Rattus norvegicus: one gene and its partners. The protein of the gene in region 1 purifies or fractionates together with the protein of each later gene. This does not show direct contact. Links are inferred from orthologs where the notes say so. Each region holds a gene or a part of one and is shown on either strand. Other genes may lie near its edges.

The links.
Region 2: the proteins of Kpna6 (region 1) and Kpnb1 purify together in Homo sapiens (affinity purification with mass spectrometry; 4 studies listed by BioGRID and IntAct, with this or other methods). This does not show direct contact. The link is inferred for Rattus norvegicus from reciprocal best matches to the Homo sapiens genes KPNA6 and KPNB1.
Region 3: the proteins of Kpna6 (region 1) and Rnmt purify together in Homo sapiens (co-immunoprecipitation; 3 studies listed by BioGRID and IntAct, counting the BioPlex papers as one, with this or other methods). This does not show direct contact. The link is inferred for Rattus norvegicus from reciprocal best matches to the Homo sapiens genes KPNA6 and RNMT.

The regions. Positions count from the first base shown.
Region 1 is NC_086023.1:147,287,916-147,292,134, reverse strand, and holds the start of Kpna6 (importin subunit alpha-7), read left to right. Parts: upstream 1-1,377; 5' UTR 1,378-1,405; coding exon 1,406-1,424; intron 1,425-2,767; coding exon 2,768-2,901; intron 2,902-4,219. UniProt on the Homo sapiens protein: Functions in nuclear protein import as an adapter protein for nuclear receptor KPNB1. Binds specifically and directly to substrates containing either a simple or bipartite NLS motif.
Region 2 is NC_086028.1:82,657,216-82,660,865, forward strand, and holds part of Kpnb1 (importin subunit beta-1), read right to left. Parts: intron 2,999-3,650; coding exon 2,888-2,998; intron 1,741-2,887; coding exon 1,639-1,740; intron 1-1,638.
Region 3 is NC_086036.1:64,162,516-64,166,165, forward strand, and holds part of Rnmt (mRNA cap guanine-N7 methyltransferase), read left to right. Parts: intron 1-596; coding exon 597-738; intron 739-2,366; coding exon 2,367-2,492; intron 2,493-3,650. UniProt on the Homo sapiens protein: Catalytic subunit of the mRNA-capping methyltransferase RNMT:RAMAC complex that methylates the N7 position of the added guanosine to the 5'-cap structure of mRNAs. Binds RNA containing 5'-terminal GpppC.

The DNA of each region.
Region 1 (4,219 bases):
CCTGAGTGCTAGGTGGTGAGTTTGAAGCTTGCATAAGCTACGTGTGAAATGTGTGTTTCAAATCAAGGAAACAAAATGCTTTAATGCTTTACCAGCCTAAATCAACATATGAAACAAACAATAGCAACAACAAAAATACACACGTATAAGTTAGACTTAATTAAAATGTAAGCTTCCATATTTCAAGGAACACATGAAGAGAATGAGAGTGAGGTTGGAGATAGCCCAGTAAGTGAAGTGCTTGCTGAATGGGTGTGAGAACTTGAGTTCAGATCCTAGAACACGTGTAAAGATCAGGTGGGCAGGAAGATTTCATGGCAATTACATTGAGTGTGTAGTAGGGACATTCTAACTAATAATTCTTCTGATCCACAAACATGGATGCTTTTGTTCATTAATTTTGTTTGCTCTTCAGTTGTTTTCTTCTTCAGATGTTCTAAACCATAGCTCAGTCTCTGACATTCAGTGTGTAGCCCAAGCCGGCCTTGAACTTTGGTATTGCTATTGCCTCGTTCCTAATGCTGGAGTTAGAGGGAGCATGAGCCATAAATGGCTAATATTTTAATGAACTCTGTGTGTGTGTGTGTGTGTGTGTGTGTGTGTGTGTGTGTGTGTGTAATTTTTTTAAATGGGGCTTCTCTATGTAGCCTAGGCTGTCCTGAAACTCCGAGATCCACCTGCCTCTGACTCCTATGTGTTGAAGTTGAAGGCTTGCACAATACAGGGCATGACAATTTTAGTTATTTTTATTTTTAAGACAGGACGTCACAGAGATCTGCCTGGCTATAATAGCAAATTTTTGCTAAGAACTGTGTATTTGTTCATAGTAATAAGTAGGTATACATAAAGTTTAGGCCAGTCTGGTTTTGTCTTTGGTAAGAATAGGCAAAGTATGTTTTAGAAGAACAACTCTGAGTGTTTGGCTTTGTTCGTGTGTTATTGTCGTACCCTTCACGTCTCAACATTACAGCTGACTTTGTACTCTGGAGGTTTTTTATTTGATTATTCTAATGTTGGAGATGTCGGCTCACCTATTAACTTTAGATTTGTTCTTGTTTGGACTTTGGTCTATAAAGAGAATTTACTATACAAGAAATTATGTATTGAGAAAATGAGTTCCTCAGAATCAGGTTTGACTGAAGTGGGGCGCTCTTAAGTCAGTGGGAACAAAGCATCGCCGTCTCTGAGGTGGGAGGGTCTGTAGTAACGGTTTTCTCATGTGCTTCTGCAGATGTTCGTCCTTCCATTCTTTGTTGCCTGCTTCTCCAGTGAAGTCATAAGTAGATATTGTGTGATAGTTACTTATCACCATGGTAACTAAAGGAGCAATGTGGTTCCTATTTCAGTTTAACTGTCAACTGTGCTCAAAGGAGAGGACAGCCTCTGGGACAGCACAGGCTCAATCATGAAAAACTATGTGTCAGGTACTAAAGGGCAGCATTCCACAGGGGCTTGCCTTTAGTAGTCTCTCCTCCACCTGTGTAGGGACCCATAGGAGAGGTCACTGTAGATCCGTGTGCGTGTGCGTGCGTGCGTGCGTGCGTGCGTGCGTGCGTGCGTGCGTGCGTGCGTGTGTGTGTGTGTGTGTGTGTTCACACATACTGTGCATGTGGAAGTCAAAGAACAGCTTGCAATAATTGATTCTCTCCTTCAACTGTGTGGATCCTGGTAATAGAGCGTGGTCCTGAGGCTTGGCAGCAAAACCATCGCTTACTACTGAACCGTTTTCATTTGATGGCTTGCTTTCTTGCTTACTGTTTATTTTTTGTTCTTAAATATAGTTAAAACAGTACACTGTAGCTGTCTTCAGACACACCAGAAGAGGGCACTGGATCCCATTACAGATGGTGTCAGCCATGTGGTTGCTGGGAATTGAATTCAGAACCTCTGGAAGAGCAGTCAGTGCTCTTAATAGGGGCTGAGCCATCTCTCCAGCCCCTATTTTTATTTTTAATGTGCATGTGCTTGTGTTTCTATATACCTGATGTCCCATGTGTGTGTAGAAACCTGGAGAGGCAGAAGAGGCATCAGATGCCCTGGAACTAGAACTATAGACGGTTGTAAGCCATCATGTGGGTGATGGGAACTGAACTAAACTACAGATGGTTGTAAGCCATCATGTGGGTGATGGGGACTTAGCCTGGGTCCTCCCCAAGTGCAGCCAGTGCTCTTAACCACTAATCATTTCTCCAACTTCTCTTGTTTTGTTTGTTTTTTTTGTTTTGTTTGGTTTTTTTAGGATTTATTTAGTTTTACTTTATGAGTGTACTGATGTGCCTGGTACATTCAGAGGTTAGAAAGTGGCATTGGATCCCATGCCATGGAGCTAGAGTTTACAGATAGTTGTCAGCCACCATATGGGTTCTGGGAATTGAACCTGGGTTCTTTGCAAGAGCAGCAAATGCTTTTAACCACTGAGCCATCTCCTCGGCAGCCCCTCCCCCCTCTCAAGATAATAATCTTCATGGACTTTGCTAAGTGAACTTCCAAAGCTCCTAGAGAGACTAACCAGAGACTCTTTTCTCCTTCTTCATCCCATTTCTTTTTTTTTTTTTTTTGGAGCTGGGGATCGAACCCAGGGCCTTGCGCTCGCTAGGCAAGCGCTCTACCACTGAGCTAAATCCCCAACCCCTTCATCCCATTTCTTTTCCGGCTGAGAAGGTGTTTGCCATCTTCCTACGTTTTCTCTTTATCTCTATTCTCATTTTGATCCTGTGTGGAAAGGAACTGCTGCGCTCACAACTCTTGACAATCTCTTCCCTTCTAGAGACCATGGCAAGCCCAGGGAAAGACAATTATCGAATGAAGAGCTATAAGAACAATGCCTTAAACCCTGAGGAAATGAGACGAAGAAGGGAGGAAGAGGGCATTCAGCTTCGGAAACAGAAGCGGGAGCAGCAAGTAAGTTACCTGAGTGTTCTCAGGAGGACCCATGGGGGCACTGGCCAGCTTCAGGGGTGACCCTTACCCTTCATCCTTCTGCCTGGGGCAGTGTGGCCCTCACCCTTCCTCAGCAATCTGCTTCTCTCTCTCTCTTTTTTTTTTTCCCGGAGCTGGGGACCGAACCCAGGGCCTTGCGCTCGCTAGGCAAGCGCTCTACCGCTGAGCTAAATCCCCAACCCCGGCTCTTACCCTTCCTAATGCTGTGACCCTGTAATACAGTTCCTCATGTTGTGGTGACCCCAACCATAAAAGTATTTCATTGCTACTTCGTAACTTATGAATCATACTGTAAATATCTGTATTTTCTGATGGTCTTAGGCAACCCCTACCCACAAAGGGATCTCAACCCATAGGTTGAGAAATGCCGGCATAAGGAAATATAGTTTATCTAGGTAGCAGGCTAGTCATCTAATTTGCTTCCTTGTTTGTTTTGTAAGTGGGTACACATGTGTGCAAACTGTATATGTGTGTATGTCTGTCCAGACATTGATACTACAGTCTTTCCCAGTTGCTGTCCGTCTTAACTTCCATCACTGAACCTGGAACCCACTGATTGGCTTGACTGGCCAGTGTCCTCTAGAATTCTGCCTCCTAAATGCTGGGATTATAACTGTGAACTGCTACACCTAACTTCCATATTGGGGATCTGAACTCTGGTCTTCATGCTTGCTTCACAAGCATTTTACTCATTAATCCATGTCCCCAGCCTTCCGGGTTCTGCTTCTAAAGAAATGTTGGAAACTTTGAGAAAGGAAAAACAATTTCTTAATTCTTTTCTAAAAATTAAACCAAGTGTCATTTTTATTCATATTGGGGTTGTAACTTTCTGTTCCCTATGGTTTTCCTTGCTTGGTTGTTTGAGACGCATATGTGCTTGTGCATGGCATGGCATGCAAGTGGAAGTCAGAGGACAGCCTCCGAGTGTCAGTCCTCACTGTGAACCGTGGCTGAGCCTGGGTCTCCTGGGTCTGTCTGTGCTGCATGTGCCAGCCCGTCTCCCTCCAATCTGCCCGTCGTAGCACTGGGACGATAGTATAAGTACTAGGGACTGAGACTCAGCTTCCCATGGTGGTTCAGCAGGTGCTTTAGCCACTGAGTTTTTGTTCATCCTTTAACTTAAATTTGGGGCTGGAGAGATGACTGAGCTGTTCATGGTGCTTACTGCTCTTGGAGAGGACCCAGGTTTGGGTTTTAGCACCTACAGAGTGGTTTACAGCCATGCATCACTCTAGTTCTAAGAGATGCACTGTTCTGGCCTCCAGGGGCTCCTGTGTGC
Region 2 (3,650 bases), on another chromosome or scaffold:
AAAAAAAAAAACACTGACTGCTCTTTCCGAGGTCCTGACTTCAAATCCTGGCAACCACATGGTGGCTCACAACCATCTGTAATGGGATCTGGTGCCCTCTTCTGCTATGTCTGATGATAGCTACACTTTACTCATATAAATAAAAATTAATTAAAAAAAAAAAAAAGAGTCCTAGCAGTGTTACCTGAGACATCGCCAGATCCTTAGTAATAGTACATAAACATGGTACCAAGAAACAGTGTGATGAATAAAGTGAAGAGAGCAGAGGAAAAATTCAGGGCTCACATGAGACCTTCTGGCTGGCCCTATAGTCCCAGGACTTGGGAGGCAGAGGCCAGGCCAGCCTTGTCTACAGAGTGAAGTTCCAGGATAGTCAGAGCTCCAAAGGCAAACACTGTTGAAAAACTTAAAACAAAAACCTAAGAATGTAGTATGCACCCATCACTTAGATCTTCAAGACAGCTTTGATTTTGATTTTGTAATGAACCTTTAAAATTTAGGCAGTGGTGGTACGTGCCATTAATCCCAGAACTCGGGAGGCAGAGAGATGTGATTCAAGGACAATCTGGTCTACAGAACGAGTTCCAGGAAAATAAAGGCTACTCAGAGAAATTCTGTCTTAAAAAACAGACCAAAATAACACCTTACTCTAGTTTATAGATATGAACGAATGTAAATGAGTGTGGATACATACGAGTGCATGTATGTGCCTGTGGAGGCAGGCCAGAAGCACAGGTCTCCCTAGAGCTGGCAGGTGTACCTACTTGGAAGGAAAATGGGTCTTTGCCAAGACCAGTACTCACTCTTAACCCCTGAGCCACACTTAGCCATTGTAATAAATAATAACTAACATTAAAGACTTTGGATTAGAGTCAGGGGCTCTTTTGACAGAAGATCTCACTAGGTAGCCAAGTAAATTTGAATTTCTTTTTTTCTTTTTTTCCGGGGCTGGGGACCAAACCCAGGGCCTTGCGCTTCCTAGGCAAGCGCTCTACCACTGAGCCAAATCCCCAACCCCTAAATTTGAATTTCTAATCCTCCTACCTCCAGTTCCTGACTGAGTGTTGGGATCACATACACACACCACATACCTCATTTTAAATAGGACTTCATACATGATGGGCAAGGACTCTATCACTGAGCTAAAATTCCCAGCCCCTAACAGTATTTCTCATGGGTTAGGAGTGCTTTATTTGAATGTGAATGATTTGTGTCCAACTTCATCCGTTCTTAAAACTACATAAATCCAATGACTTCATGAAAATACCGAAAATACAAAACCAGACATTTAAGGGCCCTATGCGTAGCGTAACAATTCTACTCATTCCCTTCTCTTGGAGGCAGAGGGTGACAGGGTCATGTACATGCCAGGCAAGCTTCCTACTACTGAGCTGCACTACTGCCCACCATCTATCTTTATTGGAACTTTTACACAAAACACATGTCCCATGAGTATGAATGCCACAGCAGTCAGGAGATTAGAACAGTGTGAGGATTGTTCATAACCAAAATGTCTAAGATACTGAGGCACAACTCATTGGCTCAAGCAAGGTACTCGAGTCACTCACAGCATCAGATGGCTGCTGATGTCCTCCATGGAAGCTGTTCCACGGGGAACCAACCGGCCAAGAGGCTCACCTGTTTAGTTAGTGTCTGTGTGAGGATGGGCACCAGGTACTGCAGCGCTCCCTTGGCGTAAAATTTGCTGGTGTGCTCCGGGGGCCGTCCTTGTTCTGCTGCCTAAGGAGAAACACAAAGTAAATAAGCTCTTTTTTTTTTTTTTGGTTCTTTTTTTTTGGAGCTGGGGACCGAACCCAGGGACTTGCACTTCCTAGGCAAGCGCTCTACCACTGAGCTAAATCCCCAACGTAAATAAGCTCTTATGAATGCTACAGCCCCACAGTGAGAACTGTAACAGGTCTGTAAGGTAATGGTAATATTCACTGTGCTATTTTGGAGCTGCTGCCTATACGTTAACTTCAGTGAGTATTATATAGCATATTACATGCAGACCTATGCATTATATCCATGTGTATTACATTCCTGGATTGAGGATGAGGCTCAGCTGCTTCAGTGCTTATCTTGCATATGCAAAGCCTGTGGTTTAATCCAACACTATATGAATCAGTGGGAGAGGATCCACACTTGGGAGATTTGAGAAAGAATCAGAAATTCAGGGTCATCCCTGAATACATTGAAAAAAAATAATAATTTGACATCTAGTGCTAGAAAGATAACCCAGTTTAGTAAAATGTTTGGCAAGTTTCCTCTCCAGATCTCACATAAGAAAAGTGCGTACTGCCAAAATTGTGGTGCATGCCTTTAAACTTGGCAGGCAGAGGTATATATGCGTTCTAGGATAACTAGAGCAACATAATCCAAGGTGGAGAGAGGAGCACCTGAAGTTGTTCTGTAGTCTCCGAACACACAGGAAATGTATATTAAAATCAACCGAGTATGATATATCTTTTGGCTCAAAACTTACACAAAGATGAGGCTGCTCAAGGTTCTAAGATAGCCTTTCCCCCTATCTGACTCCTTCTCCAGAGCTAGTAAGTTGTCAATAACACATCTTGGTCCTGTACTGAGATTTCAAACAGGAAAACAAGTCGTCGTCGTCATCCCACCCCCCCACCCCAGTCAGCTGCTACTTCACTATGCTGACAACCTGCTGCCCCCTTGTGTTCACAGCAGAACTATTAGTATGAATACCTGCAACAGACAAAAGTGTGTGCTGTCTTATTACTGAGGGCATCTGGTTAACAGAAAACACACTATGTCAGACGGTCAGAACAGAACCCCTCCAGAAGAGTGATCCCCACAAAGTAAATGTGTAAAGTCCAGACACAACAGCAGCTCTTCTCAGAGAGGCGCACCCCAGGCTCACCTCTGAAGCCTCAATGGCCAAATCCATTTCCTCATCACAGACATTGGACCAGAACTCTATCCCTTGGAGAGCTACCTCATCAATGTCACTTTTCATTGCTTCAATTGTGATCTGAAAGGAGAAAAAGACACCGTAGACACCAAGTAAGTACAAACTCAAGTTAGACATCCTTTTGACCAGACATTCAAGATTGAAAAAAATACAGTTAGAGGGGCCTGGAGAGATGGCTCAGTGGTTAAGAGCACTGACTGCTCTTCCAGAGATTCTGAGTTCAAATCCCAGCAACCATATGGTGGCTCACAACCATTTCTAATGGGATCTAATGCCCTCTTCTGGTGTGTCTGAAGACAGCAACAGTGTACTTACATACATAAAATAAATAATTCTAAAAAAAAATTAATAAAGCCATTTGTGAAGTAGTTGGATACAAAAAACAAAAACTTAAAAAAAAAAAAAAAACCTTGCAAAATATCAGTTAAAATACCTTTTAAGACCTGAATGCGGGGTTGGGGATTTAGCTCAGTGGTAGAGTGCTTGCCTAGCAAGCGCAAGGCCCTGGGTTCGGTCCCCAGCTCCGGAAGAAAAAAAAAAAAGGAGGGAAAACAAAAAACAAAAAGAGCTGAATGCACGCCTCTAAATCATTCCTAGCACTACTCAGCACTCAGGAGGCAGAAGCAGGTACATCTCCGTGTTCAAGGCTAGCCCGGTCTACAGTGAGTTCCGGAACATCTAGGGTTACAGAGGCCCTGTATGCGGTGGTGGT
Region 3 (3,650 bases), on another chromosome or scaffold:
AAACTTACACTGGAAGATTTTCCCCCCCCCAGGTAAAATTTGACCCTTAAATTTGATATGTAAAATAAAGAATTAAATGCTTTGGAAAAATGGCAGAGGCTGAAGGCCTTTACCTACTATGGAATTTTTATAAATGCAGATTTGTTTGAAAATTGTTTCATAATAAAAGTCATTGTTATTGAGTGTAACGTGCTAAATGCTAACCCATATATATATATATATGCCTCATGTAATCATAACAATAATTCCCTACTAATAGCTTATTTCATTTACTCCTTTCTAGGAATTCATCCATTGACTGGTTTATTAAGTTGAATAAATCAAAATTCTGAAGCACAGTAGTTTTCTTAAAACATTTAGTCGTAAATTATATAGGTGAGGGCCACAGAGAAGACCTTAAACTGGGGATTCTTCTTACGAAGAATCAGGGCGATCCCTCTTAGGGGTGGTGGTAATTGGCATTATTTCTGTGGGTCCAGCCATTGCTTTGTAGAGCACGCTTGAGCTGCGCGTGCTTGGTCTGTAGGGTAAGTCAGGCGATCTGAGACCTCTCCTTTTCCATATTGTACTCGAATCTTACATTCTGTTCCTTTCAGTTTCAGAAGCTGGAGGAAGGACACAGCTCAGCCGTGGCCGCCCACTATAACGAGCTTCAGGAAGTCGGCTTGGTGAAGCGGAGTCAAAGTCGCATTTTCTACCTAAGAAACTTTAATAATTGGATTAAAAGTATTCTTATTGGTATGATCTGTTTTTGCCCTTTAGTTGGGAGATTTAAATTTCCCTGAGGTGCATTGCTTTTCACAGAGCCCAGGGCCATGCACACTGAAAGTGCTGTGCAGCTGAGCTGTCTCCACAGCCGGCTCTCTGCTCTGGGCCTTCCCTCCCAGGGTTAATCAGAAATCGAGCTTTGAAGACCATCATTTACTCTTTCCTTTGTGGCTGGCTACACTTTGGTTTCTAAAGCTAGAGAGCCAGAGGTAGGCCCTTGGGAGAAATTATTTTACTATTCGTTTTTAGTTCATTATATGGGACATTCATAATGTTTGGTTGACATTAAGCTAAACAGGCTTCCACTTGGCAGTGTCCTTTATGGTCCTAGTTAATGTTCCTCAAGGAACTAATAAGTGAAGTGCATGTTGGATTGAACATTGAGTTTATTATGCCAAGGAAAGGACAGTGTGTGTCCGTACTGGGTCACTGTCCGTTACAGAGCTTCTCTGTCTTACATGGTTTCTTGAGGAAAATGTTTACCTTGAGGACTGATAAAGACATAGTTTTGGAAGTAATATTTTCTCTATGGACACTTACCTTTAAAATTAAAATGGAAGTGAGTAAAGAAAATAAGACTTAGAATGTAAGTATTGCTTTCTCTGTCTGGTTATATCAGATTTGTAAGTTTGGAGAAATTTTAAGATTTTTTTTTTATAATGAAGTTTTTTTTTTTTTCCTTTTTGTCTGATTTTAATTCACAAAAGTACAGGTTAGTGGGATTCTGACAAGTTGATAAATTGACTTTGATGGATGCTTCTGCATTTCACCCATCATTTTATTGTTTTGGTGAATAAGTGTTAAGATTCATGACAGGACTAAAATATGGGGCACTTATGCTTCTTAGGAACACTACTTTCATATCTATACTGAAAGGCAGAAATGTTGGGAGTGAATATTTAATAGTATCCATACAAATTATAAAGTAGCAAACAGTAATAAATTAGGGGAAATACTAAGGTTCATTATTGTATTAAGTTCTAGGACTGCTGAATACCTCATGTCAGATACTGTTAATAAGCCTTTTCAACTATTTGAATATCTGCTTGTTTATGAGGTGAAAGGTTGAGTTTTTTGACACTCTTATGAGTGTAAAGAGTAAGAATCAGCTGTAGTTACCATTCCATGGCTACTTCAGTTCAAGAGGGTCACACGTACACATCATGGGAAGTGTAGAAAATGCAACTTAGTGCTTCTCTTTCCACAGATGTTACAACTTTTCTTGTTTAATTAAGCTTAAATATCACCTGCTTAACAATTCACATTTCAAAAGTGTTTTTCAAGAGATAATCGAAGCCTTTTAAAACAACACGCATACTCTTTAGGGTTAGGAATAAAGGAGCAAGTTACTTCCTCTCTTACAGTTTGGGATACCAACCTAATGTTAACTATACATTACTGTGGTACAGTCCATATGATTTGTCAGACGAAGTAGGTTTTAAAGAAGTTGCTGGGGGCTGGGGATTTAGCTCAGCGGTAGAGCACTTGCCTAGCAAGCGCAAGGCCCTGGGTTCGGTCCCCAGCTCCGAAAAAAAGAAAAGAAAAAAAAAAAGAAGTTGCTGTAATAAAATGTGTTATAATTGATTTCTCTCTTCTAGGGGAAATTTTAGAAAAGGTACGACAAAGAAAAAACCGTGACATCACTGTTTTGGACCTGGGATGTGGAAAAGGTGGAGATTTGCTCAAGTGGAGGAAGGGGAGAATTAGCAGGCTAGTGTGCGCTGGTAAGGCAGATACAAGGGGAAGAGCTGTTTGGGGGGCCAGTGTAATGGCTTGCTAGGTAAAGCACTTGCCGTGGGGGTCTGACCACCTAAGTTCAATCCCCAGAGTCCACATGAAGGAGGAGGGGCAAGTGCTTGCTGTGCACTCTCTTTCCCTTGTTCACACACACATGCGCAGTTACGGTGACCGTGATGATAGCTGAACAACTGAACACGCAGGTCTCGAAGGTCAGAATTGTTTTTGTCAGTTAGGTGAATGGGGAATTAAAGGGACCTCCTTGCCAATATGATGCTGCTCTCTGAAGGCACCTTCTCTCTGAGACCATGGATCTGATAGGTGTTGAAAAACGAGTTAAGCCTTTTCTGATGGTTTTGTAATACAGTTAATGTTACCTTGACCTCCTCAAAAGGAAGGACATATTATTACCATTATTATTTCTATCAGGTACCATATTCTTTCTGTTTGATGGATCACAGTATGTACAACAGCATTGCCTCCAAAAGTAGTTTTGGAGCACTGTCCAAATGAGTAGTTTCCTTCATTTTTGCTGTTTGATGAGCCATGTATACTAAAACAATTATTGGAGAATTGTTCATTTTATGTGTGTGGCTGAAGCTGTTGATTCTTGAACATGTTAGAAATTGAGGCTGTGACTTTTTAAATTCATACAAATAAAGTTTAATGGGAATTCTGGCAAGTTAACTTTGAGAACTGTCTCTACATTTGCCAGGTCATTTGGTTATTTTGGTGAATAAGTGGTCGTAAATGAAAGGTGGTGTTATCCTTTTCAGATAATTGTGGCTTCATCTTGGGTGAGAAGTCATGTGCACGCTGTTCTGTAAGGGGAGTTAGGTGTGGGATCTGAAGCCTGCTTATCCCCTTACTTTGACCCATTGGTCTGTCGTATATTTTCATAATGGTTTCAGCATACCTGGAAAGTACTGTTTACTGAAGTTCTCTTAGGACTGACATCAAGAAATCACATTTTCTTAATATTATATCCAGTCACAAAGGTGGTTGATACAATTTTTTTTTTCACAGAATTGTGATTTTATTTTTTTGAAAGTCAAATTTTATCTCTGGCAATGAGCACTATCCATTGTGTCCCTTAAAATGACCCTGTTCATCTTCAAAAATACATGAAGAGTTTGAGAGCCATT